Mytilus edulis: one gene and its partners. The protein of the gene in region 1 purifies or fractionates together with the protein of each later gene. This does not show direct contact. Links are inferred from orthologs where the notes say so. Each region holds a gene or a part of one and is shown in the gene's direction. Other genes may lie near its edges.

Region 1 (10,742 bases):
GACAGACGGACGGACGCTACGACAGACGAACGGACGCACGGATGAACAGACGCACAGACCAGAAAACATAATGCCCCTCTACTATCGTAGGTGGGGCATAAAATCAAGAATGTGTCCCAAGTACAGGAATGTCCCACTCGCACTATCATTTTCTATATTCAGTGGACCATGAAGGAGGGGTAAAAACTCTTAATTTGGTATTAAAATTTGAAAGATCATATCATAGGGAACATGTGTACTAAGTTTCAAGTTGATTGGACTTCAGCTTCATCAAAAACTACCTTCACCAAAAACTTTAACCTGAAGGGGGACAGACCGACAAAAAAATGAACGGACGCACAGACCAGAAAACATAATGCCCCTCTACTATCGTAGGTGGGGCATAAAAATATTTAACCTTCTCACTCCGGTCTGGTCAATCCTCGGAACATTGTCAGGACATAATTTAAGGCATTAGTGTTACCAATTTGTATCTCATGAAAAATACCCAAGAGTTAAAATTAAGAAAGTGTAAATTGATACTAGCTATCAAAATGAATTAAAAAGTTGACTCACCTCTTCAAAAGCTTTAGCTGATCCATATCCTCCTAGGTAACCATTTAAACGGGAAGCAACAGGGGAGGTAATTAGCTCTTCATTAGTAAGATTGAGGCTATCTAATATCTCATGATACTTTCTCAATTGGTACTTTTGATGGTAACTAAAAGAATAAAAGCAAAAATGAAGTTAATTTGAAAATAAAATAGTTCAACTACTGTACAATGTTTTTCTAACGCTGAGGTAGTGAGTTCCAATCCTGTACAAATCTTAATTGACTTGGAGTGTAAGTTTTCCTGTCAATTGTTGTGGTTTTCTCTGGGCTTCCTCCACTACTAAAAACTGACTACAGATTAAGCCAATTGAGATGGTAGTGGTGTTAAACACCAACAATAAATCAATCAATCAGCTGTGCAAACTTCTTTTCTGTAAGGCATAAATGGATTTAATGATACAATTTCAGGATGGGTGGGGTAGGTACCAAATTAACTGTTTTTTATAGCTCACTAAGAGATCAACACAACAGTAGTGCAACAGGAAAAGCAGCATAGGCACTGGTACATATGTATACATATATGAGTTGTTTATGCTTTGACCTCTTATTTGAGTTATTTATATTTGTAACCTTTAATCTCTTATATGAATTGTTTTTGTTTGTAAGCTTTCACTACTTATATGAGATGTTTATAAGCTTTAACTTCCTACATTTGATGACATTTAATGTGCATTAACTTTCCACATGTGTGGTGCATGTTTGTAAAGTTGAGCCTCTATAAAGATTGTTGTTGTCTCAAAGGTACTGTGGATTCATTATTGTTCGTGGATCACCATTTTTTGTGGATTTCATGTGTAAAGGAGTTTTAGGAATTTAAATATTAAAGAACTAATTTTCTTATGGCTTGTATGCTGACTTTGACAAAAACATAAAATTGATTTTCCCAATTATACAATTATTTCTCAATTATACAATTATTTCCCAATTATACAATTATTTCTCAATTATACAATTATTTCCCAATTATACAATTATTTCTCAATCCACCTAAACTTGTACCAAGGGTCCAAATTTCACAATATGAATTACTGCGGATTCATTATTTTTTGTGGGGTAACAATTTTCATTGATTTAGTGGGTACAGATAAACCATGGATTGAAATGATCACTGAATTACACATTTTCTAAAAGGTTGTATGCAGACATTGGCCAAACCAAGAAATCAAATATCCACAAAAATGCAAGTTTTGCTCAATCCACAAAATTTGGTGCCCACGAAAATAAATGAATCCACAGTATTTGTATATGTCTTTAGTATATCTTACTCTTCTGCATCATAAAATGTATCAGCTTTCTTTATCTGAGTTACTATTGGTCGTACCATTTCCTTCTGCTGTTCTTTCTTTGATTCTTCTGCTTCTATTTTCTGTTTAGTGTTATGATAAAAGATGGCTGACATGTACTGGGTTCCGTGAGATGAAGTAGGATTGTGGAATGACCAGAATTTATTCAGCAGGTCACCATAGCTTATTTTACTGGGATCATACTCTAAGCTGATACTCTCTGTATGATCTCCACTACAAAATAGTTTACAGTTGAAATCAGTTCATTACAATTTGAATGTAGTATATATAAAATTTAACATTTTGAGCATAATATTCTCCCTATCTTACCTACATTGTATCATTCATTCATTTACATGTCTTTATGACCTTACCAATCTAAATTAAATGAATCTACAGTTAAAACATATTATTCATTTCTGGCAAAATTAAATGATAAAATATAAGAACATGCAACTGTTTTTCAGAGTAAAAGTTATTCCTATTTTCCCACAAATTGTAAACCAACTAGTTTTTGTGTGCAATTTATTTTAGAGTATAAAACTATTGCAAATATATAAATTGTCTTGAATATGAAAAATTGGATTTTGGTTTACTTAACTACGTAATGAAATTAAATCGCTGCGAAATTGGCTAGAATAGGCAGAACGAGAAATAAAATATTCACAAACATAAGTTGGTTTACAGCATGTTTCAAGAAATTTTAATGAACAGATTAGAATATATTTGTTGTTATCTATACAAAGGTAAATATCATTTAGAGAATAAACCAAAAACATATAAAATTCAAAATTTAACACTCATTTGTTGAAACCAAGTGATAAAATAAAGCAAGTGTTATTCTTTTCCATAACATAGTGTGCAGCAGGCAACTGCTAACCGTTTTTGTGCTATATGAGTTATGAATGTCACAGTAACATATAAAGCCTGCATAAGGCATCATAAGAATAAATTTGACCAAATAAATTATAACTCACATATCTTTTAAGCTGTAATCAAGGTAATATAATAAAAATTTATAACAGACTAATCCTTTATCAGATCAATATAATGTCTTACATGTTACGATAGGTAGCATTCTTGGTGGCTCCACCTGTGAATCCCACTTTGGTTCTGACCACACCAGGTAGACATCCAAACTGGGCCTCAGGGAACCAGAATCAGCTCAGGGCAAAAGTTGCCTTACATAACCTCCCTTCTTCTAGTGGCATAGTGAAGATACTCTACAAATATAAAACCTTTGTATTCTCTAGATAAATCATTTAGGCCATTGTGATTGAGGAGTGGTTCTGAAAAATGCTCACTACGTCATAAAGTGTAAATATACTTTAAAATAATGGTGCTTCACCCAAGAAGTACTCTTCAATGGTTATCTTTTGTCATTTGTGAGACTTGGTGTTGTCTGTTGATGGCAGATTTTTTTTATAGTTAAATTTGTTCAAAGTTTTTTATACTCTTGATAATTTTGAACCTAACAAATGGTATGACATGTAAAAGTTTAAACAAATGGTACTAATACAAATGTAGCTTTAACAAACAGAGTTTCACCCTGATTTTATACTTTGACATATACAATGTATATACATATCATCGAGTAATGTGTTTTTGGACTAATAACAATTTTCACTTCTCACGGTTTTCAGTGGAGTTTTTATTCAGGTGTGTACTCAAAATTTTAAAAACATGTTCTATCGAATGTTTGTAGATATCTAGATTTATTTGTCAAGGCTAACTATGACTTTTTACTAATTCTGATTATTTTGCGATTTTCGTATGTCAAAAAACAGTGTCATATGTTTTCATATGAAGAAAAAACGGAATCAGTTCACAAACAGGAAATGACTATCAAATCCAGAAATGAGTAATTTATAAAGTTGTGGTTCTGGTGATTGCTTAACTCATAAAAAAGTTATTTAATTCTTTTCAGTATTAAAACTAAATAGTAAATAGTTTTTGGTTGATGTTTCATGCGCTGAAATTCTTACATTTTGATTTTTTTCAGATTGGCACTGGGTTTCTACAAAAGACCTTATTTCTGAAGTTTTAAAATTAGTGATTAAATGTAAAAAGCTAGGACTGTTTTTATCATTATATATTAAGGTTGTATAAAAAGAATTGTCAATAGAATGTTGAATGAATGGAGTTTGAACAATCCGATTTTATGTAAGAACCCAGTTAATCTTAACTAGCTGGTTTGTCACAAAAACTACAGAAAACATACATGACAGTCGCATGTCTTGAAGATGCAGTGTTTGACAGACAACCAACATAGCTGTACTTCATGTAACCATTCTGAGTTTTTCTCAACAACTATTCTGGTGATGCATATTTTTGACAGTAAAAAAAAATGGCTGAAACAGGTAAGTTTTACTAAATTTGTTCTAACATATTTTAACACGATTTTGAATATGATTTAAAATTGTGAAGTTGTAGTGTGGTTGTTGTTCCAAATATAGAAACCGAAAAACAAGTCACAAGCCTCCTCTTTTGTGAGAAAAATTTGGTTGATCATATTGGGAATCACTGAAGCATGACTGAAACCCCCCCCCCCCAAATTATGCATATTTTCCCAATAAAAAAGGGTAGAGGTTGTTTTGAAAAATGCCAACAATATCACTGAGAATTTTATGAACTACTGGACCGCAAACTTTCCATGAAGTAAATGAATGCTATTTGCAAAATTGTAAAGATCAAAGAGGAGAACAGAAGATCAAGGCAAAAAGTGTGAAGCATATCTGTACCATAATTCAGTGGCCATTTTAAATGGGGGGTTCCTAACTTTGGACAAAAGGGGGGGGTTCCAACTATATGGTGGGTCTCATTGGGGTCTAAGCGTGACGCGGGATTGCCGATTTTTCGTAAGCGTGAAAGTCAAATTATTGTGTCGTGAAAACGGGAAATGAGGTCTTGCGGGACCCGGGAAATGACAAAAAAATTAGAATTGCTTACGTACATAGTGTAAGCGGGATACAGGAATCTGACAAAACAGTAAGCGGGATCCGAGATCGGAACCCCCCTATATGTTCCCATTCGAATGCATTGATCGGCCAAAAAAGGGGGGTTCCAACACCGGAACCCCCCTGGATCCGCCACTGTATAATCTTCTTTATTCGTCTTGTCACAGAATGCTTGAAATGAGTTAGCCCATATTACATTTATGATTAGCGTCATATTCTTGTTTACCTATCTGAACTATAAATGGCTGTGTTTATATAATATCATTGTTGTCTGTTATGTCTGTTATTATTTGACCTAAACTTAGGCTAAAGAAATAAATCCATAATGACAATTATAATATAAAATTGAGGTTCTACCTGTTATACCCTTTAGATATTGTTTTTAGGTATACACTGTAACTTTTAGATGTCAAATTGTTTTATAGGTATACACTGTATTAACTTTTAGATGTCAAATTTCAGTAAATCTGTTATCAATTCATAATTTAAAGGAAAATAGTAAATTTAATAATCCAGGAACCAGTTCCCAACAAGATTAGCCTAAATTAATGAAATATTATTATATTAATTTTGAAGACAAAATACATCTATAGTTAATATTGTATTGCTTGTATTATTAAAAATACTTTTGGATTTCATCTTTACCTCTAATGTAGTTAAGAAAAGTATTGAGTATTATTTCTTCAATCTATGATTAAAGTGGAGTCAGATATAAAATCATGAAATTACACTTTTCCCTCAGACAAGATGGATGCCTGCTGAGTCCAGGCCCAGGTCGGAATTTGAAAACAACAAACAGCAGGGTAACATAAATTTTGTATCCTCTGAAATAAATTTGAAATTATTAACATAAATAATATGTATGACTGGTTCAAGAGTAAATCCATGTAACATGTTGAAATGACATAATTCAAATGATCAAATTATTTCCGTCGTGACCTCAGGCTCAGTAAATAATTTATTTCTGGTTAAATCGCACCCGGTATAGTCAAATCGGCACCGACGGCAATAGTTGTACTGATTTCGACACCCACGTTAAATATGTTGAATATTTAAACTTTATTGTCGAGCCTGTGAATTTAGTTGCAAAAGAGACTGGCACACATTCATGACATAATTTCTGTGGTCATTAATGTTGACAGGCGGTATCAGGTCCGTTCGCACCCAATACATTTTGACACTCTTCACCTTCACACCACACATGTTTGTCCCGTTATAGATAGTGTACCTTCAAGCTTCTTTTAAAATGAAAATAAATGCCCTGCATCTTTACCTGTTAACTGATTTGAGATGTAAACAAACACAAAAATAAAGCATTGTCATCATGGTCATAATCTCTCTTCATTTAGAAACCATGATTTTTTTCATAGCAATGCACTAACCAAAACATGATTAAGATTTATGTTCAACACAAAACAAAGACTGACAGATGTCAGAATCTCACTTTATTTAGGAACCATTAAAAAAATATATTTATAGCAATGCACTTACCAAAACTCGTTTACAAAATAATTTAAACACAAAACTAATAAAAATTGGTTGCTAAGGTCTAGGGTGCAAAAGTGAAAGGAGGCTCACAGCAATGGGCGTGAACGGCCCCAGATTTATTGGAGGCGGCGTCCAAATATGTAAAAGTTTTTGAAATTTAAATTGAATTCTAGAAGTTTCATTTATATATTGGTTTGTCAGATTTTGATATTGATATATTTGTAAGTGATAAAAAATAAGTTATCTTTATTTTTTATATCAGGTTCATTTACAAGTAAGTAATGGCATCACAAGAAAACAAAGATGATTCTCCCCAAGAGACTGTAGATATTCCACCACCTATACCTTCAGTCACAGAACCTCAGAAACAGATAGCCAGCCAAGCTCTACAGGAATTTGAAAAGAAGAACTATGGTGCCTGTTGTAATCTTACACACAAACTTTTTGTTGAACGTTCAATGGATCCTAAAGTGGTCCACAACAAAGCAGTAGCTGAATTTTATCAAAGTGGATTCTTGACTACAGATGAATTTAGACAGAGCCTCGATAAAGTTTGCCAGATGGTATGATTTAATTTCAAATATGTAAATTAAAAGTGTTATGTTATTGGGAACCGTTGCAGTGGTTTTGAGCAATTATGCTTCCCTTGAGTACTAGAGGTTGTAGTTTTCAACTTCTGGCCAGGTCAATCCAGAGACTTTAACTTGGTATTTGCTTTTCCACTAAGCATGCAGCATTTCATGGTTAGCAAACATTACTGCTTGGCTCAAGATTCATAATAATATATATGAACTGCTGAACTAGCTCATTAAAAATTGGGTTTAAAGATTTAAAAGTGCATGCAGTGTTGTATTTATTTATCTATTTATTGTGAACAGAGATAATCATAAATCTCTAATTATTGTTCAGAGAAATATTATAGGCTATACATGCTATAGCTGTAGTCTCTTATAATAAGGATATCAAGAGAATATATTTGGCAAATATTTCCCTGTTTTTAAACTGTTAAAAAGGATTGTTTGTTTTTTTTTAAACTGTAAATGTGGCTGGTACTGTATACTGAATCAAGTAATAACATCTGCCAGCTTGTCTCTTCTACAATGAAAATTATTGTAAATAAATGTGTGTGTGGACTTCAGGATATCATACTAATGAAATATATTAATTATTGGCTGATAATTAAGTTTGCTGATTACTTTGTCCGATGCCTCCTAAAGGAAATGTTACATTGGCGGTCATTCTCCATCCTGGTCTTTTTAGTAATCACATAGGAAGTTATTTCTAAAGCATTTTGTAGAAATCACCCAGGAACATAGTTATGGGTGTCTTGATGATGATATATTGCTATATTATAACTTTGTAGTAATATACTTGAATTTTTATTTTCTCAGGCTAACATCAGCATGGATAACAGTGACAGTTTAGAAGATGTGGATCATAGTGTATTGTATTTTAACCAAGCCGTTATATTTTACCATCTCAGACAGTATAAAGCAGCCACAAAAGTCCTTGACAAACTCTTTCAGTTTATCGAACCTATAGGTATTATGTACACCATAGTGTATTGTACTTTATCCATGACCATATGTGTAATGTAAATTAATCACTGATTTTAACATTAAAAGTTGATTTTCATCATTGTTCCTCTACTATCAGTCAAATTGCTTTTATTAAGGTTATTATTTGACAATGTTTGAGTTGATTTTGGTATAACTTATTTTTGGATGTAAACACATCTTCTGATTGGCAGACGTTGTTATGTTTATCAGCTCATAGACATAATTTTGTCATGTGACCATGACATCATCACGTTTTTCCATGATTTACTCCGGTTTGATATGGAAATTAGAATTAACTTATAAGAAATGACTGTAATATTTTTTTTGTCTTCGAAATAACATAAATGTGGTGCACACTTTAAAAAAACAACACTACAGGGGTTATTCAGTGTGACCACTATTTGATGTTATATCTTTAGATTTATTGATTCATACTGAATTTAACACCCAAGTAAATTTTCCAATACCTCCTAAACATATCTATCCTATTTTTAATATATATTAATTCCATTTTGATAAGTTTTTATTTTTACAGTTATCATGCTTGAGGACAAGTTGAACTGTGTTATAGTAGATTACTTATGTTTTTAATGGTCAAACGCTTATTGTTACAAAAACTAACTGTCTATTTGTTTATTTTCAGAAGAAAATTTGGCAAAGAAAGCAATAATGTTACTTGTTGAACTATATCTGTGTACTTTTCAAGTAAGTCACTATATCACATTGATTCATTAGACAGTTTATGCATTGATCTTCAAATGAGCTCAATTCAGGAAAATTTTTGGCTTTATTTGTCCAGTCTGTGAATGTAAAATAAGAAGATGTGGTATGATTGCCAATGAGACAAATCTCCACAAGGGACCAAATGAAACAGAAATTAACAACATCGGGTCACCGTATGGCCTTCAACAATGAGCAAAGACCATACCGCATAGTCAGCTATAAAAGGCCCTGAAAGGACTAATGTAAACAATTCAAATGAGAAAACTAGCAGCCTAATTTATGTACATACAATGAAGGAAAAACAAATATGTGACACATCAACAAAAGACAACCACAGAATTACAGGCTCCTGACTTGGGACAGGCACACTCATACAGAATGTGGCGGGGTTTAACATTTAAGCGGGATCCCAACCCTCCCTTAACTTGGGATAGTGGTATAACAGTACAACATAAGAACGAACTATAAAAATCAGTTGAAAAAGGCTTAACTGATCAGATGAATAGATTAATAAAACAAATGGAACTACATCTAACAAAAATACATATTATCTTTATTTATTTTTCTTCTTACAGCCAGAGAAAGCGATGGGAATGTTAAGTTATGCAGAGAAGAATGTATTTAATACTGGGAAATCAGGGGGAGATAAAGAAGGGAAGGATAAAGACGACAACATGGCTGATGACCCAACAAAAACAAAACTTAGTCTGGTGAGATAGGTTATGTTTGTAATTTAAATATCTATTTTTTATTTAATTTGAATTTTATGCCCCACCTATGAAGTAGAGGGGCATAATGTTTTCTATTCGTTCATATGTTTGTTTGTCCGTCTGTCCCGCTTCATTTTAAAGTTTTTGGTCAATGTAGTTTCTGATGAAGCTGAAGTCCAATAAACTTGAAACTTAGTATACATTTCCTATGATATGATCTTTTTAATTTCAATGCCAAATTAGAGTTTTTAATCCAAATTTCACAGTCCACTGAACATATAAAATTATAGTGTGAGTGGGGCATCCATGTACTATTGACACATTCTTGTTTTTTTTTAAATGCCATACTTTATCCCTCAATACCACACTAGATTAAAGGGAGGACATCAAAGATAATGTATAGGTTATCTTGATATATTTCTAATATCCACAAAAGTCAATCACTGAAGTTTGGAAGTTGTATATTCTTTAGTAATTTCGTCCACTGTGTCATTAATATTTACATTTAATAGTTAGCATGAACATGTCTTTCGATATTTTCACATGAACCAATGCTATTCCATATTTTCACATGAACCAAATTGAATGCTATTTCATATTTTCACATGAACCAGAATATCTCTACATGAATGTTTTACATACAGTTTAAACACCATCTCTTATATATAATTTCATGTTTATATATCATGAATGTAATTTGTGTTTTTTATTTTTATTTCAGTACAAAACAAGATGTTTATTAATGATGAAATCAATGAAGTCTAGTAAAAGAGAAATTAAAGCATTAATTACAGCACATCCTATGGTAATGAGACTTATTCTATATTTTTTTTTTATCAACATGGCTACTTCTATTTATTTACTCATTATAACTGAAGGGAACAGTTTTGTTAATCCCTAACTTAATAGTAGTTTCACAATATTTTGTTATTGTATTTAGTTTTAACATTTTAATGACGGGAAAGACCATATACCGGTAATATACAAAATAGACCAGTAAATGGGTTTACCATTGATTTCCTTCTTAAATTGTTAGACACTAGTCATTTTCAGGCCCATTATAGCTTGCTGGTCAGTGTGAGCTAAGGCTCTGTGTTAAAGGTCCTACTTTGACCTATAATTCTTTACTTTTTACACATTATGACTTGGATTGAGAGTTGTCTCATTGGCACTCATACCACATCTTAATTCTTATCTATATAATCACAAAACAATTCAACAACAGAAACATATAACACAGTTAACAAAAAAATAAAGAAAAAAAGTTGTACAACCTGAAGAACTTGAATCATTTATAAACTTAACAATAATTATTGAGTAATGTGTACTTATTGCAGAATTAAATAGAATGACCAAGAAGATAGACTGAAAACTAGACAAAAGCTAAATAATATAACTGTTGCTGTTAACATACCTTATTGAAACAAAAA
Region 2 (11,135 bases), on another chromosome or scaffold:
TGGTTCTTACATTTGGAGCAAGATCTGAGTGTCCTTTTTGGATAATCTGAGACCAGAGATTATCTATGGGGTTCAGGTTGCTCAGTGTTAAGTGTTCTTTATATTTAAGGATTGATGTGTGTCATTTCGATCTTCTTTTTTTTAGCCACGACGGAGTCAGTTTCTCTTCAACTTCTGATTTTGAAGTCCCTTAATTGTGTATCATCCGCAAGTTTTATTCTTCCCATGAAAAGTATTTTGTACAGAAGTTGCATATGATAACAAATCGAAACAAAAAGTGAAATATCAAAAATATTCTTACCATATTGTTGAAAATTTTTGAACAAGGAAGTCAACGGTCGAAACAAAGGTTAATTTATTCATTATGTATTTTTTCACACATATAATCTAAATAGTATAAGTTTGCATTATTTGCAGTTGAATGCATATGGACAAACATATCTATTATATAAATATCTTGTTACCAATTCTAGTCTGTATCTTTGATAAGTTTTATATTACAGACAGTATTTTATTTGATGTGCGGTAATTCAAATGTTTAAAATGGACCTTGTCATGCTAGTCTTAGAGCGATACTCATAGTCATTGTCTACCCTTTACATCGACAACGTCAACCGGTCGTGGGTTGTAGCTCGTTATCATCCCCAATCAAGTAGCCACTCTCCCGGTTACATTTATGGTAGAGGAAACCCAAAGGTTCGTCGACTTTTAAGTTCGACACACGGTATCAGTACCTCAAGCAGCATCTGTTGAATGCATCTATCCCATTTTACATGAAATAACGGATACGAAAGATATATTTGATAATTCTGCTTCATATCTTGACTTATAAATAGAAATTTACAATTAATGTCTAAACAAAGCAAAGCTTTAAGACAACATATAGGATTTCAGCTTCCCAATTGTAAACTTTCCATTTCTATGAAGCAATATTCCATCAGCCTTTGCATATGGAGTTTATATCTCCCAGTTGGTACGATATTCCAGGTATAGCTTTTCCTATCATGAATTTCTTAATAGAGGTTTGCTCTTTACAAACGAAGCTATTAAACCAAGAGTTCCAAGTGATGAACTTGATATCCCGTCGAAAAGTTTCAGGACCACATCACTGTTTTCAAAACTTTTAAATCTTTACAGCAGATTTCAGTCAGTATGTAGCTAATGGTAATATCTTTGGTTAGCTTGCTTGTTAGCTGAACCGTGAAGTCATTGTTAGGTAAGGTAAACTTCCCTCCTTTAATAGTAGACTAGCCCAACAGATAAAAAATCTATCTCTCTGTAGGACTAAGCTACTTTAAAAGGAGGGTAGTATACCTTACCTAACAATGACTTCACGGTTCAGCTAACAAGCAAGCTAACCAAAGATTTTACCATTAGCTACATACTGACTGAAATCTGCTGTAATACTATGGCTTTTCTACCTCAGGAATAGATTACCTAAGCTGTCTATGGCAAAACTGTTAGGAATTTTGGTCCTCAATAATCCTCAACTTTGCACATTATTTTGCATGGCCTTTTAACTTATTTTAAATTCGAGTGTCACTGATGAGTCTTTTGTAGACGAAAAGCGCGTTTGGTGTAAATACAAAATTTAATCCTGGTATCTATGATGATTTTATTTATTCACATGTTGGTGTACCGTTATGGAACATATGTTTCACAGATGAAGATGAATACGTTCCAATCGATTATCGTCATTCCACAATCCCGTCCTCCTTTGCCCCGAAAGAAACCTATCGATTTAGACTTACAAGTTAACTTTACAACACGACAATTCTGCTTACCTTTCAATAAAACAAAGCAGATCAACATTGGTTAGGTGTACTCGCGTGCAATTATATAATTCGGAATATTTATATATCAAATTGGGATCGTTCAATTACATCTACCTAAGGAATTGGGAAATACTAACGATTTTCTATCCAGCGAATTTGGCCAGACTTTCGGAACTTTGAATCCTCAATGCTCTTCAACTTCGTACTTTATATAGTTATTTTTCCCAACTATATCTTATTCGAGTTTTACTGGTGAGTCTTCTGTAAATTGAAAAAAATATCAACAACTGGAACGTCATTTTCAGTACTAAATACCAAAACAACACAGATTCCATTACAACCAGCATTCAATTGTGCTGCTTAAAAAACTCTTTCTAAAATATTACTATATTTTACAATTAATCAAATCGGAATTTCAGAGTAATTATCTCTATGGGTCGTGTAAATCAAGTGTGGATATTTAAAACGATGTATTATCTAAGTACAATCTAAGTCTCTATCCTTTTCCATTAGAAAACATTTGACTTTCTTATCCTTTACAACAATATCAATCATTCTAAAACATCGAAAGAGTCTGTTTGTTTCATAAATTAAGCCAATGTATTAACAGCTATCTTGTCATAGGAAGAGGTAAAACATGATTTTCAAAAACGCACTTGATTCTTACTAAACAAATTTTTAAACTATAACAATTATAGTAATATGTCTGTTTGAATTTTTCAATTGACATGTTTGTCACGTTTAGAGCACTTGTTGGTCAACAACCTATTGACATTCCTATTGGAAGCAATGGTCCTTTTGTCGATTTTTCTTTTTCGTAAGCATGATAGGTAGACGACTTATATACACAAGCTTCTCGGAAGAACGAAAAGAAGCTACAATCATTCTCATTCAACTACATATTCTGTGATAAAGATTATGTCGTCTCTGATTTCTCCCATTGGATTCCACAGATACAGAATGTCTGCCTCTTTTCATAAATAGTATCTGGATATTGACAAAAGAGATAAGTCATGTTTCCCAATTTTGAACTTTCCGAAGTTTCTCAATTTTGAACTTTCCGATTCTAAGCAACAATTGTCTCATATTTGAGGCAAGACATGAATTGATCATCTCTGTATTTATCTCCGAAGCCATTTACATTCCAACTTGATTCCTTTATGGTTCTAAGAAAGATAACTCTAAATATACTAAAGCTATCTGCAAGTTTTGAAAACTATTATTTTGAATTGCATGAATTATGGATAAATAAAGGCAACAGTATTATACTACTGTTCGAACGTCATAAATCGACAGATAGAAATCAGAGAAAACAAATCCGTGTTAAAATGAGTAATGGCAAATTGCACATTGTACTGTCTTAATATAAATAAAGAAGATGTGGTATAATTGCCAATGAGACAACTTTCCACAAGTTTTAGAGACCAAAATGACACAGAAATCAACAACTATAGGTCCCCGTACGGCCTTCCACAATGAGCAAAGCCAATGCCGGATGTCCGCTACAAGGTCGTTTTTCAATAAAAGCGTAACTTTTAGACCTAAAAATAATGGAAAATCAAGTTGTCTAAAATTTAATTTCAAGAGTTATTTTGAATACCTCTATTATAGACCTGTTTGTAAACAAAAAGTGCAATCTTAAATATTCTTTTAAATGATATTATTTTCATAATGTGTACTGTTTCGGTCCCCTATTAAACTGCTTCTAAACACACATATTTTTGCAATTTTATATGTTGCCTATAGACATTCCAGTTTCTTTACTTTATATACTAGAAAAATTTCCTTTTTTTCTGAATTGGAGAACCATTTTTTATCGATAAAGATTAGACAGTATTTCACATATGAAGGTACAACTCATGTTACATTTTGATGCGTTTCGTAGTTGACAAAACCGTTTCGTAGTGGACAAAAAGTTTCGTAGCTAACATCAACCCCTATTCTATGTTGATAAAAACATAATAAAAATTACATGAAACTAACCCTTGTTATTTGTTTTGCACGAATATAATTGAAAAAGGTGTTAAAAAAAGACTGCATGGTAGTGGTAGTGTCCACTACGAAACGTTTTTTTCTCCCATACTTGTTTCGTATATATAGGCGACCGTTTCGTAGGGAACATATTCACATGTTTTATTTTTTCCCCACAATCCCTATATTGCAATAGTAACAAGACTGATTGTATTCATCAAAGCATGTATTAAGCTGTACACTGATATTTTTCATAATCTTAAAACCAGACACTGAAGAAGATTTGACCCGTTTCGTAGTGGACATTAAAAAAAATACGGTATCACTCGGGTCCATTTGATGTGCTCAATTTTTCTTACCAACAATTTAATTGCCGTTATAAAAGCATCACTTCTTTTGTAAGACCCTAATGTTTATATCTCTTGCAAACAAAAATTACATTGATTTTATAAAACTGTTAATTAGCAAATATTAATGACTTCGTTTCGTAGTGGACATTTTGTCAGGGACAAACCTTCTGAAATTGAAAATCCTATGCTAAAAGCTGTTTATTTAAATATGTTGACTGAACTTGGCTCTTAACAAAATTATTAAAGAACTTATATTAAGTAAAAATAAAATTTATTTCTATATTTTTTTTACGAGTATGAATGTTGAACAGGCGGTCTAGAGACATGCCATTTTGGTTGTTTTGGACCATTCAGGAATCAATATCTTATCAATCGCTCTAAAAAATCATCTGTGTCTTTGCTTAAAAATGTTAAATCTTATTCGATGTACTGGCTGCACAAAAAATTACTTGCAAAGATCAAACACATTTTTTTTAAAAGTGGCTAGGATAAGAAAGTAAGTTTTTATTGAAATACGCCTTTAAATAATAACCTTTTGTTAAAACAGTCAAATCTGTATTTCTTTTGGCTCTTATCTAATATTTATATTGGACATTTTGTCAGGGACAAACCTTCTGAAATTGAAAATCCTATGCTAAAAGCTGTTTATTTAAATATGTTGACTGAACTTGGCTCTTAACAAAATTATTAAAGAACTTATATTAAGTAAAAATAAAATTTATTTCTATATTTTTTTTACGAGTATGAATGTTGAACAGGCGGTCTAGAGACATGCCATTTTGGTTGTTTTGGACCATTCAGGAATCAATATCTTATCAATCGCTCTAAAAAATCATCTGTGTCTTTGCTTAAAAATGTTAAATCTTATTCGATGTACTGGCTGCACAAAAAATTACTTGCAAAGATCAAACACATTTTTTTTAAAAGTGGCTAGGATAAGAAAGTAAGTTTTTATTGAAATACGCCTTTAAATAATAACCTTTTGTTAAAACAGTCAAATCTGTATTTCTTTTGGCTCTTATCTGATATTTATATTGGACATTTTGTCAGGGACAAACCTTCTGAAATTGAAAATCCTATGCTAAAAGCTGTTTATTTAAATATGTTGACTGAACTTGGCTCTTAACAAAATTATTAAAGAACTTATATTAAGTAAAAATAAAATTTATTTCTATATTTTTTTTACGAGTATGAATGTTGAACAGGCGGTCTAGAGACATGCCATTTTGGTTGTTTTGGACCATTCAGGAATCAATATCTTATCAATCGCTCTAAAAAATCATCTGTGTCTTTGCTTAAAAATGTTAAATCTTATTCGATGTACTGGCTGCACAAAAAATTACTTGCAAAGATCAAACACATTTTTTTTAAAAGTGGCTAGGATAAGAAAGTAAGTTTTTATTGAAATACGCCTTTAAATAATAACCTTTTGTTAAAACAGTCAAATCTGTATTTCTTTTGGCTCTTATCTGATATTTATATTGGACATTTTGTCAGGGACAAACCTTCTGAAATTGAAAATCCTATGCTAAAAGCTGTTTATTTAAATATGTTGACTGAACTTGGCTCTTAACAAAATTATTAAAGAACTTATATTAAGTAAAAATAAAATGTATTTCTATATTTTTTTTACGAGTATGAATGTTGAACAGGCGGTCTAGAGACATGCCATTTTGGTTGTTTTGGACCATATTCAGGAATCAATATCTTATCAATCGCTCTAAAAAATCATCTGTGTCTTTGCTTAAAAATGTTAAATCTTATTCGATGTACTGGCTGCACAAAAAATTACTAGCAAAGATCAAACACATTTTTTTTAAAAGTGGCTAGGATAAGAAAGTAAGTTTTTATTGAAATACGCCTTTAAATAATAACCTTTTGTTAAAACAGTCAAATCTGTATTTCTTTTGGCTCTTATCTGATATTTATATTACAATATGATTTTTTTTTTTTATTTTTTTTTAATAAATCTGGTTGACGTTGATTTTTTTATTATTTGTGCAAAACTGAAAACGAACAAACAATAAATCCGTTCCGATGCTGCATTTTGTATTGACCCATTACTGATATCCGGTTTAATTCTTTTTCTTCTATGCTTGCTCTCATGTAAACCAGTAAAGGCTGTCCCGGATGTAGAGGCCATTTCTACGAACTCTTGCTTCCTGAATCAAAAGATTTGAGTATTATCTCCACAAAATGGTTTGCATAAATGTTTAGACTGTTATAGATCGAAAATATAATAATTATACTTCATATTTTTCAATCAGTATTTACTTCTAGAAAAATTTTAATGACATTAAAGCTAAGTATCTCAAAAGAGGGCGGATTACCCATCGATGTATCCATATCGTTCAGGGTTTCAGAATTGATAATATCAGAATATATTGACATTGTGCATGCTTAGAACAGTTGATTGTACTAAAATAGACATTATTGTGAAATAAATGTATGGCCAAATACAGCTTTATAGTCGATTGTAACAATACATGTACATAAACTCAAAGTTCATAAATAACAAATGGACTAAAATGGTTGTTTACACTAACAGTCTTCACCTTGAACCCTATTAGAGGATCTGCAACACTTGACCCGAGATAGCTATTTATCTGCCATTACTGGACATCTCAAAACAAAAGGATCTGGAAAAATTTGAAGTCATAACTGAAAAAAGTCCAAATAATCATGACGTGTTGATGGGCTAATATCACAGGCTTTTGTTTCTATCCACAGGAAGGTCGACTATCCATATAAATAGAAGAAGGTGGCTAACGAATTTTTTTTTAGGTCATGACAGTCTCCGCTTCGGACGCTTTTTCTACCCTTCAACTTAATGCTAAAAATCCCTACCTTACAGTGTTCTAGGATTTTTTTGGCACCTTGACTTACCACGGGTAAGATCAATAAAAAAATTACTTACCCACATCTATAAGTTCAATCCGCCTGCGCCGTCCGCTGCCGTTATGGCCGGGAGTCTGGGGGCCGCTCAAGGTCCCCATAAGCTCTGGGGTAAATGATGCAAAATCCTGCATTCTAGCCATTTCCTGGCACCTTTTTCATGCTTCAGAAAGTACCCTTTTTTGTGATGTCAAATGATGTTTTGTATGAAGCAATGATGACTAAAGTGTATTGAAAAGTATTTGAAATATATGGCTTAATTGTAACTATATACCTATACCACCAAAAAAGTACATTGAACTATAACAGAACTTCACTGACTTTCATACCAATAATCCACTGTAAAAAAAAATAAGGGACTTACATGCAACTCTTTTTAAAAATCAGACATGCTCTTTATAAAATACTGAATATTTTTCAGGCTGATTCACTGAACATTAGTGATTAAGGATAAGTCATGTGTTGCACATAGATTTTAAATTTAAAAACTTTTATGACATGCTTTAAATTATATGTTGTGAAGTTTGTCTGAACAAAGCTGGATTCGGATACGATTGAATTTTGTACAAAATTTAAAAAAAACGATTTCTTACTAAATTTGACAAATATGTTATAGTTATTACTATGTCATTTATTAAGAGCTATAATAAATGCAACTGTAAGTTTATTTTCCTCCGATGACAAGAAAAAAAATCGTTTATGTCCGGATTTAAGCACCAGTTATCAATCCGGATTTTCCGATTTTACCGATACTGTGACCGACTTTTAGAATGATAGGAGAAGAATGTGGTCTCTTTTGCGCTTGATTACACCTAGTAAACGAGTGTTTGAATAAAAGCGCCGATAGACATCGACAAAATCTTCGATCTTTTATCAAACATGTCAAAGTTTTTTCTCGTGATTTAATAAAAATAAAAAGCAGATATGGGAAAATTGAAGAGGACCGGAAAATTTCAAGAGTTTTTCGGCTTCCCTGAACTTGAAAATTGACTTACCACCGGGTGACAAAGGCTAAAAAATGACTTACCCGTTGTCCTAATCCACTTACCCCGGGTAACGGGTAATGGGAATCCTAGAACACTGCCTTATATGAATCGATTTAGTGAATATTTTCCTTTAACACTAAACTAATTTCATAATCCCTGCAGTGTTCCTCTTCACGGTAATCTACTCTCAATTCACTAAACCATGTCGAAAACAGTGTAGACACGGTTTGTAATGGTGAAAGTTCCTCCATCGTTCAATTTTCATCCATGGAGATCCCTGCAATAATTGTCTTTCGTAATGTTAAAAAAGTCCATCCAACAGTCAGAGCTCAGACATAAATAAGTCTGAATCCGCTTTTGACTCATAGAAGTCTAAATTTGTAAGTTTTAGGATTTGTCTCCCTTTAATGCAAGACAAAATACGACTTTAATAAGTCAAATATTGTTAAGCAAGAAATAATTGACAAGAAATAAAAAGTTGCAAATACGGACTACAAGTCAATAAGTTACCAACATTGGTAAACTTCAAGACCCACGCATATTTATAAAAAGGTCACACATCTAAATCAAATAATGACCACATTGAAAAACAATGCTTTGTCTTCTAAAGAAAAATATGAATGAGAGTCTAAAAAATCGGAGATAATGTTAATTAACCTTACAATGCAACCACCTGGAGCCACACTTAATGAGGTAAAACATCTGTGTTTAGTTTAAGTTAGAATGTTCAATTGGATAATTAAATATAGATAGCTCAAGTCTTTGTGAACTCTCAGACAAGTTTTTGCTGTCATACATGTAGGTGGTGTACTTTGGCCACCAAGTCAAATTATGTTTTTTCATCAACATAAATAGACCTAAACAAGTCTGTCATTTTCTGCCTTAGATAAGTCTAAAATTGAAAACACATTTTTATTGTCGAGCCTGCAACTTTTGTTGCATAAAGCTCGACATAAGGATAGTGATCCAGCGGCGGCTACGGCGGCGGCTACGGCGGCGGTGTTAGCTAACTTCTTAAAAGGTTTATATTTTAGAAGGTGAAAGACCTGGATGCTTCATACTTTGTATATAGATGCCTCATGTTACGAAGTTTCCCTCAGTCACATGTCCAATGTCCTTGACCTCATTTTCATGGTTCAGTAACCACTTGAAAAAAAAGTTCAGAATTTTTGTAATGTTGAATTCTCTCTTATTATAAGTAATAGGATAACTATATTTGGTATGTGCGTACCTTGCAAGGTCCTCATGCCCGTCAGACAGTTTTCACTTGACCTCGACCTCATTTCATGGATCAGTGAACAAGGTTAAGTTTTGGTGGTCAAGTCCATATCTCAGATACTATAAGCAATAGGGCTAGTATATTTGGTGTATGGAAGGACTGGAAGGTGTACATGTCCAACTGGCAGGTGTCATCTGACCTTGAACTCATTTTCATGGTTCAGTGGTCATAGTTAAGTTTTTGTGTTTTGGTCTGTGTTTCTCATACTTTATGCAATAGGTCTACTATATTTGTTGTATGGAATGATTGTAAGGTGTACATGTCTAGCGGGCAGATGTCATCTGACCTTGACCTCATTTTCATGGTTCAGTGGTCAAAGTTAAGTTTTTAAGTTTTGGTCTTTTTATCTAATATTATATGCCAAAGGTCAACTATATTTGGTGTTTGGAAATATATTATGATCTATATGTCAGTCCCGCAGGTTTTATTTGACCATGACCTCAATTGCACAGTTCATTGCACAGTGTTAAGTTTTTGTGTTTTGGTCTATTTTTCTTAAACTATAAGTAGTAGGTCAACTATATTTGTTGTATGGAAGCTTTGTTAGCTGTACATATCTGCCTGGCATGTTTCATCTGACCTTGACCTCATTTTTATGGTTCATTGGTCTTTGTTTAGCTATCTTGGTTAATGTTAAGTTTATGTGACAGTTGTAATAAAGCTTTATACTTAGGACTATCAACATAATATCAATGATTAGTAAAGAAGGCGAGACATTTCAGTGTGTGCACTCTTGTAATAAATACATGTTTTGACTTCTGTAAGTCAAAATCAAAAATCGACTTGTTTATGTCTGAGCTCTGACTGTCCAAGGTTGATGTTTATCTTCTGCTTTATTTAAAACATCTACATGTATAACTGATTTCTTTAAAGAAGAGTAAAAAATGAATTTTTGCGCCAAACTCTGTAAAATTTGACAGACTCAATTTCTGAAACCTTTGTTTTATATTATCCAGAAATCCAGGTATGTCAAATTTTACGGAGTTTAGTGCAGAAATATATTTTATACTCAATTGAAGCATCTTTGAGAAAAATCAACCCAAGAGTTTTATTAACACAGATAATTACCTTTGAGTCCAACTGAAAATATGAGTTCAGCGTTATGACATCAATGTAAAATGTCAAACTTAAAAGTATAAAAGCCTTTCAAGACGTCATAATTATTCGGACTAAAACAAAATGAAAAGTGATTGTTGTATGACATAAGTAGTTCAAGAGGTGCAGATTCTCTGGTAAACTGGTGTAAATTTCCAAATAGGTGTACATGTATTTGTGACACTTGGAACTTTTTGATGTCATCCAACTTTCACTTTTCCAATACTTCAGACATTTTCTCTTCAAAAGACTATTAGTTTTGACCTGAAAATTTTGAGGAAACATCTATGAAGTCCAATATTTAATGACTTATGACCGACAAATGAAGAATAGATGTCTTGGATAAGGCATAGGAAACCATAAAATCATTCGGTCAGACCAAACTTTCAGGATTTTTTTGGTGGAATATATAGGAGGAAAATTCTAGTTGCTTTTTTGGTCAGACAAATCCTGAAACAGTTTGCAACAGACTGCCTCATCAGTCTTCACGATGAACTGTTAAATCCTCAGGCCCGTAGCTCAATTATTGAAATTTTTTAGTTAGATTCTGTTGGCTTAGATAAATTTTTACAGGCCCGAGAGCAATTTTACAAGCCTGGGCTGCCATTTAGCGTGAAGACTGCCTCATACACTTGTACATCAAGTACATGTTTATCTAGATCTCTGCATGAAGAACATTTGATAACTTTTTTGTGTGAAAAAAAACCAAATTTACTAATTTTTGACAGAATTAACAAGCAAACTCATGTGCAATTCTTTCTAGATTTTTATGACAAATCAGAAA
Region 3 (10,500 bases), about 48 Mb from region 1:
GGATCCAGAAATTTTCATAAGATGAAGCCCACTGACTGCATAAGAGGAGGTCCGCTCCAGTCATGCTTCAGTGATTCCCTATATAATCAACCGATGTTTTTTTTCACAAATGGGAAATTTCGGTCCACCTAGCGGCCCCTCTTTATCCGCTTCTGGGTTACAAGATCAGGGTAGAAATCAATAAGGATCTCTTGGTAACGATATATTGACAAAGTAATGGTAAGAAATGGTGTGTTGTGATGTGAGGGTAGAACGTAACATATACTTCAGACGCAGTTACAGATTTTAATTTCTTAACAAAACAAGGGTATAACGAGGCTTTAAACAATTCACAAATTGCCTGTCTTTTTTAATCATAGTACAGTACGTTTTTCTTGGTCTTTTTCTGGTGGTCTCTAACAATCCTTAAAAAAATACTGTTATTATTACACGTTTCGTATAGTAAGAATGTCTCATCTTGCATTTTCTGATGTGTTGGTATTAATTTTAGCTCTGCAGGTTTTCCCTCGAAATATATTGGAAACTATTTGCACCAAGTTACTTTTGGATATACAAAAAAGTGAATTGCTTAAGGACAGGACAAAAAGTGAGTAAAAAAACAAAACAAACGAGCAATAATCTACAAAAGAGACGCATAAGATATCAAAGAGAGGCATAAGATATCAAAGGAATATTCAAACTCAAAAGTCAAAAATAAACCGACAAAAAAAAAGAAAATCAGACAAACAACAGTATACACAAAACACAACATAGATACCAAAGACTGAGCAACACTTATCCCACCGAAACCTGAGGTTTATCTCAGGTGATCCGGAAGGGTAGCTTAAGCAGATCCTGCTCTACAAGTGGCACCCGTCGTGAAGTATCATGATTCGTACAATTATCGTGTTTTACTTATTTGACAATAAACAATTATTTATAAAGTGGGTTTCAACTCAAATGTACTGGTATATTTCACCAGTCGTCCATATTAAACCTAGCTGGTTATAAATTAAGTCATCACTTAGGAAAATTGTCATAGTGTTGCTACGGAACGAATCCGTGCAAACCGTTTGCACTAAAATCCTTTCCCGATTAACTACGATATGAAGTCGGTCGATATGTTTCTAAATCAATTAAAAAAAACTTACTATAAAGAAGACCTTTTTCTTATAAGCTTCCATAGTTCGTTAATGATATTCTTTATTTGATAAAATCGGACTATAGAAAACATGAAATAAAGTATACTCTGAGATAGAAAAGAACCTCGTGTGCGATTGCAGCTAAAATGTTGCTTTTGATTTAAAAGATGAAAAACGGCACAATGGGAAAATTGAAATGGTATATTTTGTCAATCTGAATACAGATCATACCTATGAATGTAGACACAAATCAGTTTAGAAAATGTAACCAGAGAGCGCAGTTCTTTCAAAAATTTGGACCACTAAAAATCGTCAAACGATACAGTGTAAAAGAGGGACGAAAGATACCAGAGGGACAGTCAAACTCATAAATCGAAAATAAACTGACAACGCCATGGCTAAAAATGAAAAGGACAAACAGACAAACAATAGTACACATGACACAACATAGAAAACTAAAGAATAAACAACACGAACCCCACCAAAAACTAGGGGTGATCTCAGGTGCTCTGAAAGGGTAAGCAGATCCTGCTTCACATGTGGCACCCGTCGTGTTGCTTATGTAATAACAAATCCGGTAAATAGTCTAATTCGGTAGGTCATATTCATGAAAGGGGAGGGTATTGTAGTTACGACGTAAGGAACATATCCGATATCATTTGTGAAACGGTTATTCTATAACCAGTGCTCTAGCTAGAATTCAAAAGGGGCAGGGTGCCAGTGGAGGGCAGGGCACTTTTTTATGATAGGAGAAGGCACTGCTCATTTTTTTTGTCTACGTCCCTGCGTGTATCACGATTTCACATATTTTTTTTTCTGTATATATTGTTAATAAAGATGCATAAGTTGTTTTGATTATTTATTCTATAAAATTTGCATAAGAAAAGTCATTCATACTACATGTTCATAAAACATGGCAATACACATTCATACTATTAACCAAAAGAGGCAAAATAAACTTACTTTTCTCCCCCACCCCCTCTCCTTCCAAAAGAAAGATCATAAACTAAACATCTCATAGTTGACCATACATGTACATGACAGAGTACTTTAAAATTTTGATCTAGAGCTTGACCCTCAACACCTGTTTTCATTGTTCATGTTCAGAAATATATTATTTAGTGTAGCTTCATCAAGTTGATTTGTGATTAGAGTTAAACTGCACACTTTCAGGTTAGAAAGTACATAGCTTGGACACCTGTTCAGAACTTTAAAACTTGTTTTTAAATTTCTATTTTGACAATGTATAAAACATGGATTGCCAAAAGTATGATTATCAAAAATAAATTGCAATATATTTTTTTTTGTATGTTCAAAGACAGTTAATATCCTTAAGGTAACATTCTTATATAATTTTGTATTCAATTGGTTATTTTTTCCTATTTTTAGTGCTAGATAATATTTTAGGAGCACAATTTTGTAATAAGCTTTTTCAGGGGAAATAACTCCAAAATTAATTTCCATGTTTACGTCTGCTTGTCGCTCACAAGTTGAGATGAGCGATGTTTCTGTAAAGGCATAGTTTTATTTTGATAACTTCAATTCAATTCTAAATTCACGAAAGTCTTCATTCATACACTCTTCCATGGTGACTTGAGGATCGAAAAGAAAATGCCGACACATTCATCATATTTATGACAAAGGTACATTGTCTTAAAATTAAATTACCTAGTAATTAACACCTTTGAAGTCTTATCCACTATAATTGATTGTAATGACATGATTAACCTCGTTACCTGGGGGCAATCACCAGGTGTCAGATATGTAATTGAACTTCTGATAAGAAATCGATTGAAACAAAAGGCAATTTTACCAAAACGGCACAAGGGTTTTTCGAAAAACAGCGTCAGGGCAGAAGGGCGCGGCTGAGGGCACACAGGGCGCGGCTAAGGGCACCCAGGGCGCGGCGCCCTTCTATTTTGGGCTAACGAGACCACTGGGTCAACTAACTCGTGATGGCGTCCGTAAAATTTATGAACATTACATGTTGAAATTCAAAAGACAGAATTAACTTTTTGTTTTTTTTATAAAATGAAAAGTTTTTTTTTAACCGAGGGAAATTAAACTAGAACAATGAACTTTGCCCTTAATTTTTCTCACACAACATGCACACATGGATCATTTTCCAAAAATGTCTATCAATCTTAAATTAAATTCACCATATATAACAGTCACCCAATAGGTACCAGTCCAATAGGTGTAATTTCAGATTTTAAGAATGAAATTGCTTATTTTACATATCATCTAATAATAATAATAAACAGCAGTTAACCAAATAGCGAAATTTGTACAGATTTAGTTAGACCAAAAATGTATAAGAAGGAAGTCGTTAACTTAATCCAAAACTTTGTTTTAAGTTAAGTGTTTATTGTCTATCTGATCCGTGACACATTGATACAATTTGGTAAGCGACGTCCTTTACTCGAGAGAGAAAATGTAAACTATGCAATTTTGTATTCAAAACATGGATCTGAATGGCAATTTGGTTTTATGGAAATAAGTCAAATTGTTGGAAAATATTCCCAGAACATGATAAAGACAATTTAACACTCATTTAGTTGTAGGATTATAGTTCCTTAAGGTTTTACCCTGTTAGTCAATCTGATTAACAGATTAACATGTAGAACTTTATTATAAGTACATGTATCATAAGCTATTTACTAGTTAAGTCGGCTTCATATCTTGACTTACATCTAGAAATTGACAATGAGGGTCGGTTGAAAACAAAACTTTACGACAAAAGAGATGATTTCAGCTTTCCAATTGTGAACTTTCCATTTCTAAGTAGCAACATTCCAGCAGCACCTGCATACGGGGTATATATCTCCCAATTGATACGATATTCCCGTGCTTGCATTTCCTATCATGATTTTCTTGATAGAGGGTTACTGCTCACAAGGAAGCTATTAAACCAAGAGTTCCAAATGGTAAAGTTGAAATCATCCCTTCGTAAATTTTACGGACGCCATCACGAGTTGGTTGACCGTTATGGAATAACCGTTTCACAAATGATATCGGATATGTTCCTTACGTCGTAACTACAATCCCCTTCCCTTTCATGAATGTGACCTACCGAATTAGACTATTTACCGGATTTGTAATCACCGCATGATAAGCAACACGACGGGTGTCACATGTGGAGCAGGATCTGCTTACCCTTCCGGAGCACCTGAGATCACCCCTAGTTTTTGGTGGGGTTCGTGTTGTTTATTCTTTAGTTTTCTATGTTGTGTCATGTGTACTATTGTTTTTCTGTTTGTCTCTTTCATTTTTAGCCATGGCGTTGTGTCAGTTTGTTTTAGATTTATGAGTTTGACTGTCCCTTTGGTATCTTTCGTCCCTCTTCTATTTGTGTGCCCTATCCCTTTTTCCGAAATCCGCTACTTTCTTGTTTTCTATTCATTTCAATTCTTTTGTCGTTTTTTTTATATGTATTATGTGACCATTTAAACACTAGAAATAAAGTGTATTTGCTATTTACTATCAATTCCAAGTTTACTATCCACAGCTAGTGCTCACTGATTTATTATATAGGGGGAGGGTTAAGAAAAAAATATCCTGTCCTAAAGTACCTATGGCTCCCAGTGGCAAATATTTCTGCTTATTCAAGTCGATAACTACTCAATACAATATGCATGGTATGCAAAATGTGGCCTCCCACTTAGGAACATGAAGCTATGTTAAATAGAGGCAGACATTTTGCCTCGCAATAATCTATCTACAGATACCTCAGAGACAGAACACAGAAGTAGTTCCCATAAGACGAATTTAATGTTATTGACGATATAGATTTTTTATGTTTTGACACAATCATTTTTTTTCTCAATGTAGGTCAGACTTTGTTTATTTAAAAGAATATTGAAATAACAAAAATACTGAACTCTGAATACAATTCAAAACGGAAAGTCCGTAATCAAATGGCAAAATCAAAAGCCCAAATATCGAATCATGTTATAGCTTAACTAGATCTGACTGTGTATTGATGAATTTTCTCTGGTAAAACTCTGTACATCGACTGGTTAAACATGCTGAAGATCCTATCGAAGACTAAAGCGTAGTTAATGGATTTTATTTCGCCGGACTCACCTCTAAAACCCGTTGAAGAGTAATTACACCACGTCTGAATGTACCACTGAAAGTTGGTTATCTGCATGATCAGCAAGTTCAATTGTATAAAGCCGACACTTGTTCTGAATTAAGTTATTAAGTAAAAAGTTATGAGAAAGTTTTGATAACATATCATCTGTAGCTGAAACATATGTGCACGCTTAATGTGTCCACTTACCCAATTCTCCCCTACTATTATTTCAGGAGCATCTATTAATGGAAACTAGTTCAATATAGGTAGTCATGATCAGCTTGTACAATATAATCATGTTTGTTCAAATGTTGATCCGGGATACCCCCAAAAAAGTCCGAAAGGCCAGTTCGTCTGATGAGGAGGGAATTTAGTGGCTGTCAAAAATCTAATGCCGAAAGTAATAATTAAAACTCAAATTTACAAACGGCAAAAGTCCTCAGGCGGCGGGCCGGGTCGCCTAGTCCCCCCTCCATGATTCCAATCTTAAATTGTTGATCTTGACTCAGACATGTACAGTACGTGAACAATTTTCATGGTGGTATGTTTACACGTGTATGTTTACAATCAATACTACCGTGACTAACGTACGGTACCCAAATTGCACCGAGTACCCAAATTGCGCCTATTTAGCAAAAATAGCAGCGGACATCTAGGTGCAATTTGGGTATATACCGTCACGTTACGTTCCTCCTCATTTCTGAAACAATTATTAAAAAACATTGAAAAAATATTGATCCGTTAAAAGTTTAGACTGTCGTGCGTCTGCACTGAGACTACTATAACATGTGTTATAGTAGTCTCAGGTCTGCATAAGAAAACAAAGAGACAGACCACGGAAAACACTTTAACAAAACCAATTTCACTACGTTCTCATCAAAATGCTCAAATAATAGTTGATTAAAAATATATTCCAAAAGAATCATGAAGACATCGATATTGAGCGATGCACATCATGCACAAATAGGGCTCTTCACGGTTAGTTCGGCCATATTGGATAGGGGGCAGATTTTCATAATAGAGGTAAAAATGGTGTGAAAAATACGGGAAAACATCATTAAAACAGAGCTGTTGCTTGGAAACACACATAGGATTTCCCACACTTTCATACCATTTCCACCTCCTTCCAAAAAATCTGCCCCCTATCCAATATGGCCGAACTAACCGTGAAGAGCCCTATTTCCGGCGGAAACTTTTTTCACGAACTGAAAGCTGAAAACTTTCGGCGTGTAAATTTTCTAACTTGTGAAATAACTTTAAATGTTGTGATTTTAGAATGACAGATTGTTTTACCGTTAACCATTTAAACTAACTGAAGGAAACTAGATATTTGTTTGATCAAAATATTTTTACCAATAACGCATTTTTAGTACGTGTCACATGATCCAATGCTTCGTTTAAAGTCGGGAAGTTTCGGCACGGATTTAACATGGCTGCTGTGACGCCATGTCGGTGTTGAAAATGACAATGTAAAACCGTAGAAATTTCCAGATGCCAGGCCAACAGAGGCCCCATATGACTAATTTACTTTATAATTATTGTGCAGAGAGTGTATATAGTGGACTAGGAGAGCTTCAAACTGATTTGGGGCTTTCGTTTTCAGTTTAATGGAATAATATGAATCTTGACTCATTATCTTTTGCCTTGGCTGAAATAAGTTATTCAGTGGCCAACTTGACAAAGAAAAATTTTAAATCGAGTATAACAGAAATAAGTCATGTACGTATAATCATAAGATTAATTCCAATATCGCTTATATACTGTTTATAACCAGAGATTTTGTCAAGAGTATCGTTATCAAGGGAGATAATTTCAGCTCGTGTGATCTTGACCAATATGTGCACATGGTGTACTGGTAAAATCAGCTGATATATGATGTTGTTATCACTTTGAAATAAACCATGTCATTTGTTTGTATTGAAGGCATTGCCCCATGATAAATTTATGCAGCCTTTTAGTTTGACTGTCTGAACTTTGATTATGAGTTTGAAAGAGGTCCAGTGCTGTGATGGTATCGGGATCGTTTGCCCTAATACATGTTCGCCCTAGGTTCGTTCGCACTGAGTTTGTTCGCCCTGGTAATCCGTTCGCCCTGGGTTCGTTCGCCCAATTTTCATTTATGATATGTAAAATTGAGAAAGGAAATGGTGAATATGTCAAAGCGACAACCACCCGACCATAGAGCAAACAACAGCCGAAGGCAACCAATGGGTCTTCAATGTAGCGAGAATTCCCGCACCCGTAGGTGTCCTTCAGCTGGCCCCTAAAATATGCATAATAGTACAGTGATAATGGACAATGTATACGTTACATTAATGAAAGAAATATATATTTATATATATATTAAAATTTATGTATATCTATTAAAAGTTAAATACAGAATATTAATGAAATAAAATTTTTGGCTGCATTGTTACACTTTATTTTATAATTACTGTTGATTGAATTTTGATTGCTGATAATTTGAAATCTTTGATATCACTGATTGTTATATGAATTGTCTTTGATGGATTAATAATGAAAATAGCATTTTTCCCAAATAAAATTTTTACAAATTATTGCCAAACTGTACCGTCCGACAACCCACTTGACCAGGCGCGGATCTAGATGGGGGGTTCCAGGGGTTGGAACCCCCCCTTTTTTTGGACAATCAATGCATTTGAATGGGGACGTGTAATTGGAACCCCCCCTTTGTCCTGGGTTAGGAACCCCCCCCCCTTTTAAAATGGCTGGATCCGCCCCTGCACTAGACAACGTTCAGCCGCTGCAGTAAAGAATTTTAGATCAATTAACACTTTGAACTTTGAACACTTTCTTATGTATAACTTTAGTGCTCCTAATGTATCATTTTTATTGATCAAATCATGTGTGGAAATGTAAAGCAGAGTAAAGTATATATGTCTCTGTGTAAAGAAAAAGGATGTGTGATAGTGATTTCCTAGTAACGTAATTACATACAGATACTAACTTAGTTCTCAATAGTTCGTTAATATTCGGCGAAATTGTAGAGACTTCAACACACAACACTATAATAAAAAATAAAAATCAGGGCGAACAGGTATCAGGGCGAACGGTCTCAGGGCGAAACGGAACTAGGGCGAACAGTAACTAGGGCGAACCGAAATCAGGGCGGACGGACCCGGATTCTGCTGTGATCATGTGGAATCAGTTGCTCCATAACACATATGCACTTAACATGATCACATCCTATATTTATTCAAAATTAGGTTGAATTAATTTTCTTGTATTGTTTCGGTGATAATATCAATATCATGAATATATATACATGTATGTTAGACTCAGATTGACGTCTGCTCCTCATATTAATCGACTTCCAAATGGTATCCAGTCCTTCCGGCCCCAAACCGATCCGGCCCTACTTCGTTCCTGCCCCTCGTCGATCTGGCCCCATAATAAATGATGAGGAATAAACTACAGACTTTTAATTAGTATAAATGGATTTTGTAAAAAGTATCAATAAAGGATGACAACAGGCAAGTGTGAGGAATTTTAAGAACTTCAAACAAAAACAAAGTTTGTACGTATCAGCTTGGGGATCGGCTTGAACCGTTGTGTATGTAACTATTTATTATTACACAGGATTAAAGACTTGTTAAGATCACAGTCAATTGAAAGAAATTGATAATTTAATACTGATGATTAATGTTGATTGTCCTAATTTCTGTTATATTTTTTTAATATAATTATACCCAATAATCTAGAAAACTTATAGTGAAAACATTTTGTTTTACATTACACCTTTTACATTGTAATAAAATTCAGAAATTCAGAAAAACATCAACATGCATATTAATACATACAATGTATGTATTTTGGTGAAAAATGTTCATATTATTGACCTACATTGTCGTTTTCCTCTCCTTTTCAATTAAATGAATGACATGTAGTTTGTCACTGGTATTCATGATTTCAGTCTTATTTATTTTCATAAACGATAAATACAAATTCGTGAACTATTTTTTTTTTTTAATGAATTAATTTTTTTTATGATTATATGATGAATTAGTAATTGCTGAATATTTATGATTACTTTTATAAAAATTGTAAGGTTAGTTTCAAAGCAAAATTGGTATCCTGGTTATTTGTTTGAAAATCACTATTGTTGTAATAACTAGCTTTTATGTAAAGTAAAATACATACAGTTAGCTTAGTAAGGCCAAAAAATCATTACCTGGTTCCACAGTCTTCACGATGAACTGCTAAATCTACAGGCCCAGCGCTCAATTTTTGAAATTTTTTAGTTAGATTCTGTTGGCCTGTAGATACAAGCCTGGGCTGCCACTCAGCGTGACGACTGGGTTCTAGCTACCCTATATCCCCTTGTTTAATTGATTTCAATGCGAGAGGCTCAATCAATTCTACATGTACACTGATTCATTTTTAAAATTTATTGGTACAAAAACTATGCTAGTCACACAATAAGCTATTGATATGGCACCCAATAGTCTTTTTGAATCATGAACATGATGAATGAGATGAATAGTTTCAATTATCTTAAAAAGTCACTGTAATTTTATGCCCAATTAGGGGCATTATGATTTCTGGTCTGTTTGTCCCTCTGTCCCGCTTCAGGTTAAAGTTTTTGGTTCAGGTTAAAGCTTTTGGTTCAGGTTAAAGCTTTTGGTCGAGGTAGTTTTTGATAAAGTTGATGTCCAATCAACTTGAAACTTAGTACACATGTTCCTTATGATATGATCTTTCTTATTTTAATACTGAAGTAGAGATTTTTTCCCCATTTTCGCGGTCTATTGAACTTAGAAAATGATAGTGTAGATGGAGCATCCATTTAATAGGGACACATTCTTGTTTTCAATGTATTTCATTTTATTTTTTAAAATTGGTTATTTATTTTTCAGCTTGTAAATCAACACGGAGCAGAAGCTGATAGACATTTATTTCGTTGTCTTTTTTCTCATGTTGACTTTAGTGGTGATGGTCGTAGTAGTGGAAAAGACTTTCACCAGGTATTAAACTAGAATGATTAAATATGTACAACTGGGTATCCAGCTTAAAAAAGTTGTCATGCCGATATGAATTAAGTTTACATGTAGGAGATGTTTTCCATTTCTGATGAGTGAAAAAGATCATCATGCAAAGATTTTTTTTAGAAACCAGAAACATTTGCATGGTGACAAAGTAGAGGTAAATACATTCTGAGGTTGTGAATAACAATGAATAAAAAAAATTTGCAAAAGAATGAAAAGAACAGTTTAAGAAAAAGGAATGAATACTTAAAAATTACAAAAAATCAAAGGTTCACTTAAGGGGAGGGGAGGGTGG

What was found.
Region 2: the proteins of CCR4-NOT transcription complex subunit 10-like (region 1) and F-actin-capping protein subunit beta-like purify together in Homo sapiens (co-immunoprecipitation; 3 studies listed by BioGRID and IntAct, with this or other methods). This does not show direct contact. The link is inferred for Mytilus edulis from reciprocal best matches to the Homo sapiens genes CNOT10 and CAPZB.
Region 3: the proteins of CCR4-NOT transcription complex subunit 10-like (region 1) and CCR4-NOT transcription complex subunit 1-like purify together in Homo sapiens (affinity purification with mass spectrometry; 4 studies listed by BioGRID and IntAct, with this or other methods). This does not show direct contact. The link is inferred for Mytilus edulis from reciprocal best matches to the Homo sapiens genes CNOT10 and CNOT1.

The regions. Positions count from the first base shown.
Region 1 is NC_092348.1:14,908,623-14,919,364, reverse strand, and holds the start of CCR4-NOT transcription complex subunit 10-like, read left to right. Parts: upstream 1-5,551; 5' UTR 5,552-5,635; intron 5,636-6,582; 5' UTR 6,583-6,601; coding exon 6,602-6,883; intron 6,884-7,711; coding exon 7,712-7,862; intron 7,863-8,522; coding exon 8,523-8,584; intron 8,585-9,177; coding exon 9,178-9,312; intron 9,313-10,033; coding exon 10,034-10,117; intron 10,118-10,742. Other genes in the region: peptide methionine sulfoxide reductase-like, read right to left, coding at 556-700, 1,858-1,991. UniProt on the Homo sapiens protein: Component of the CCR4-NOT complex which is one of the major cellular mRNA deadenylases and is linked to various cellular processes including bulk mRNA degradation, miRNA-mediated repression, translational repression during translational initiation and general transcription regulation.
Region 2 is NC_092356.1:9,172,974-9,184,108, forward strand, and holds the start of F-actin-capping protein subunit beta-like, read left to right. Parts: upstream 1-6,165; 5' UTR 6,166-6,292; coding exon 6,293-6,295; intron 6,296-11,135. UniProt on the Homo sapiens protein: F-actin-capping proteins bind in a Ca(2+)-independent manner to the fast growing ends of actin filaments (barbed end) thereby blocking the exchange of subunits at these ends.
Region 3 is NC_092348.1:63,138,909-63,149,408, reverse strand, and holds the start of CCR4-NOT transcription complex subunit 1-like, read left to right. Parts: upstream 1-6,457; 5' UTR 6,458-6,816; coding exon 6,817-6,918; intron 6,919-10,076; coding exon 10,077-10,184; intron 10,185-10,500.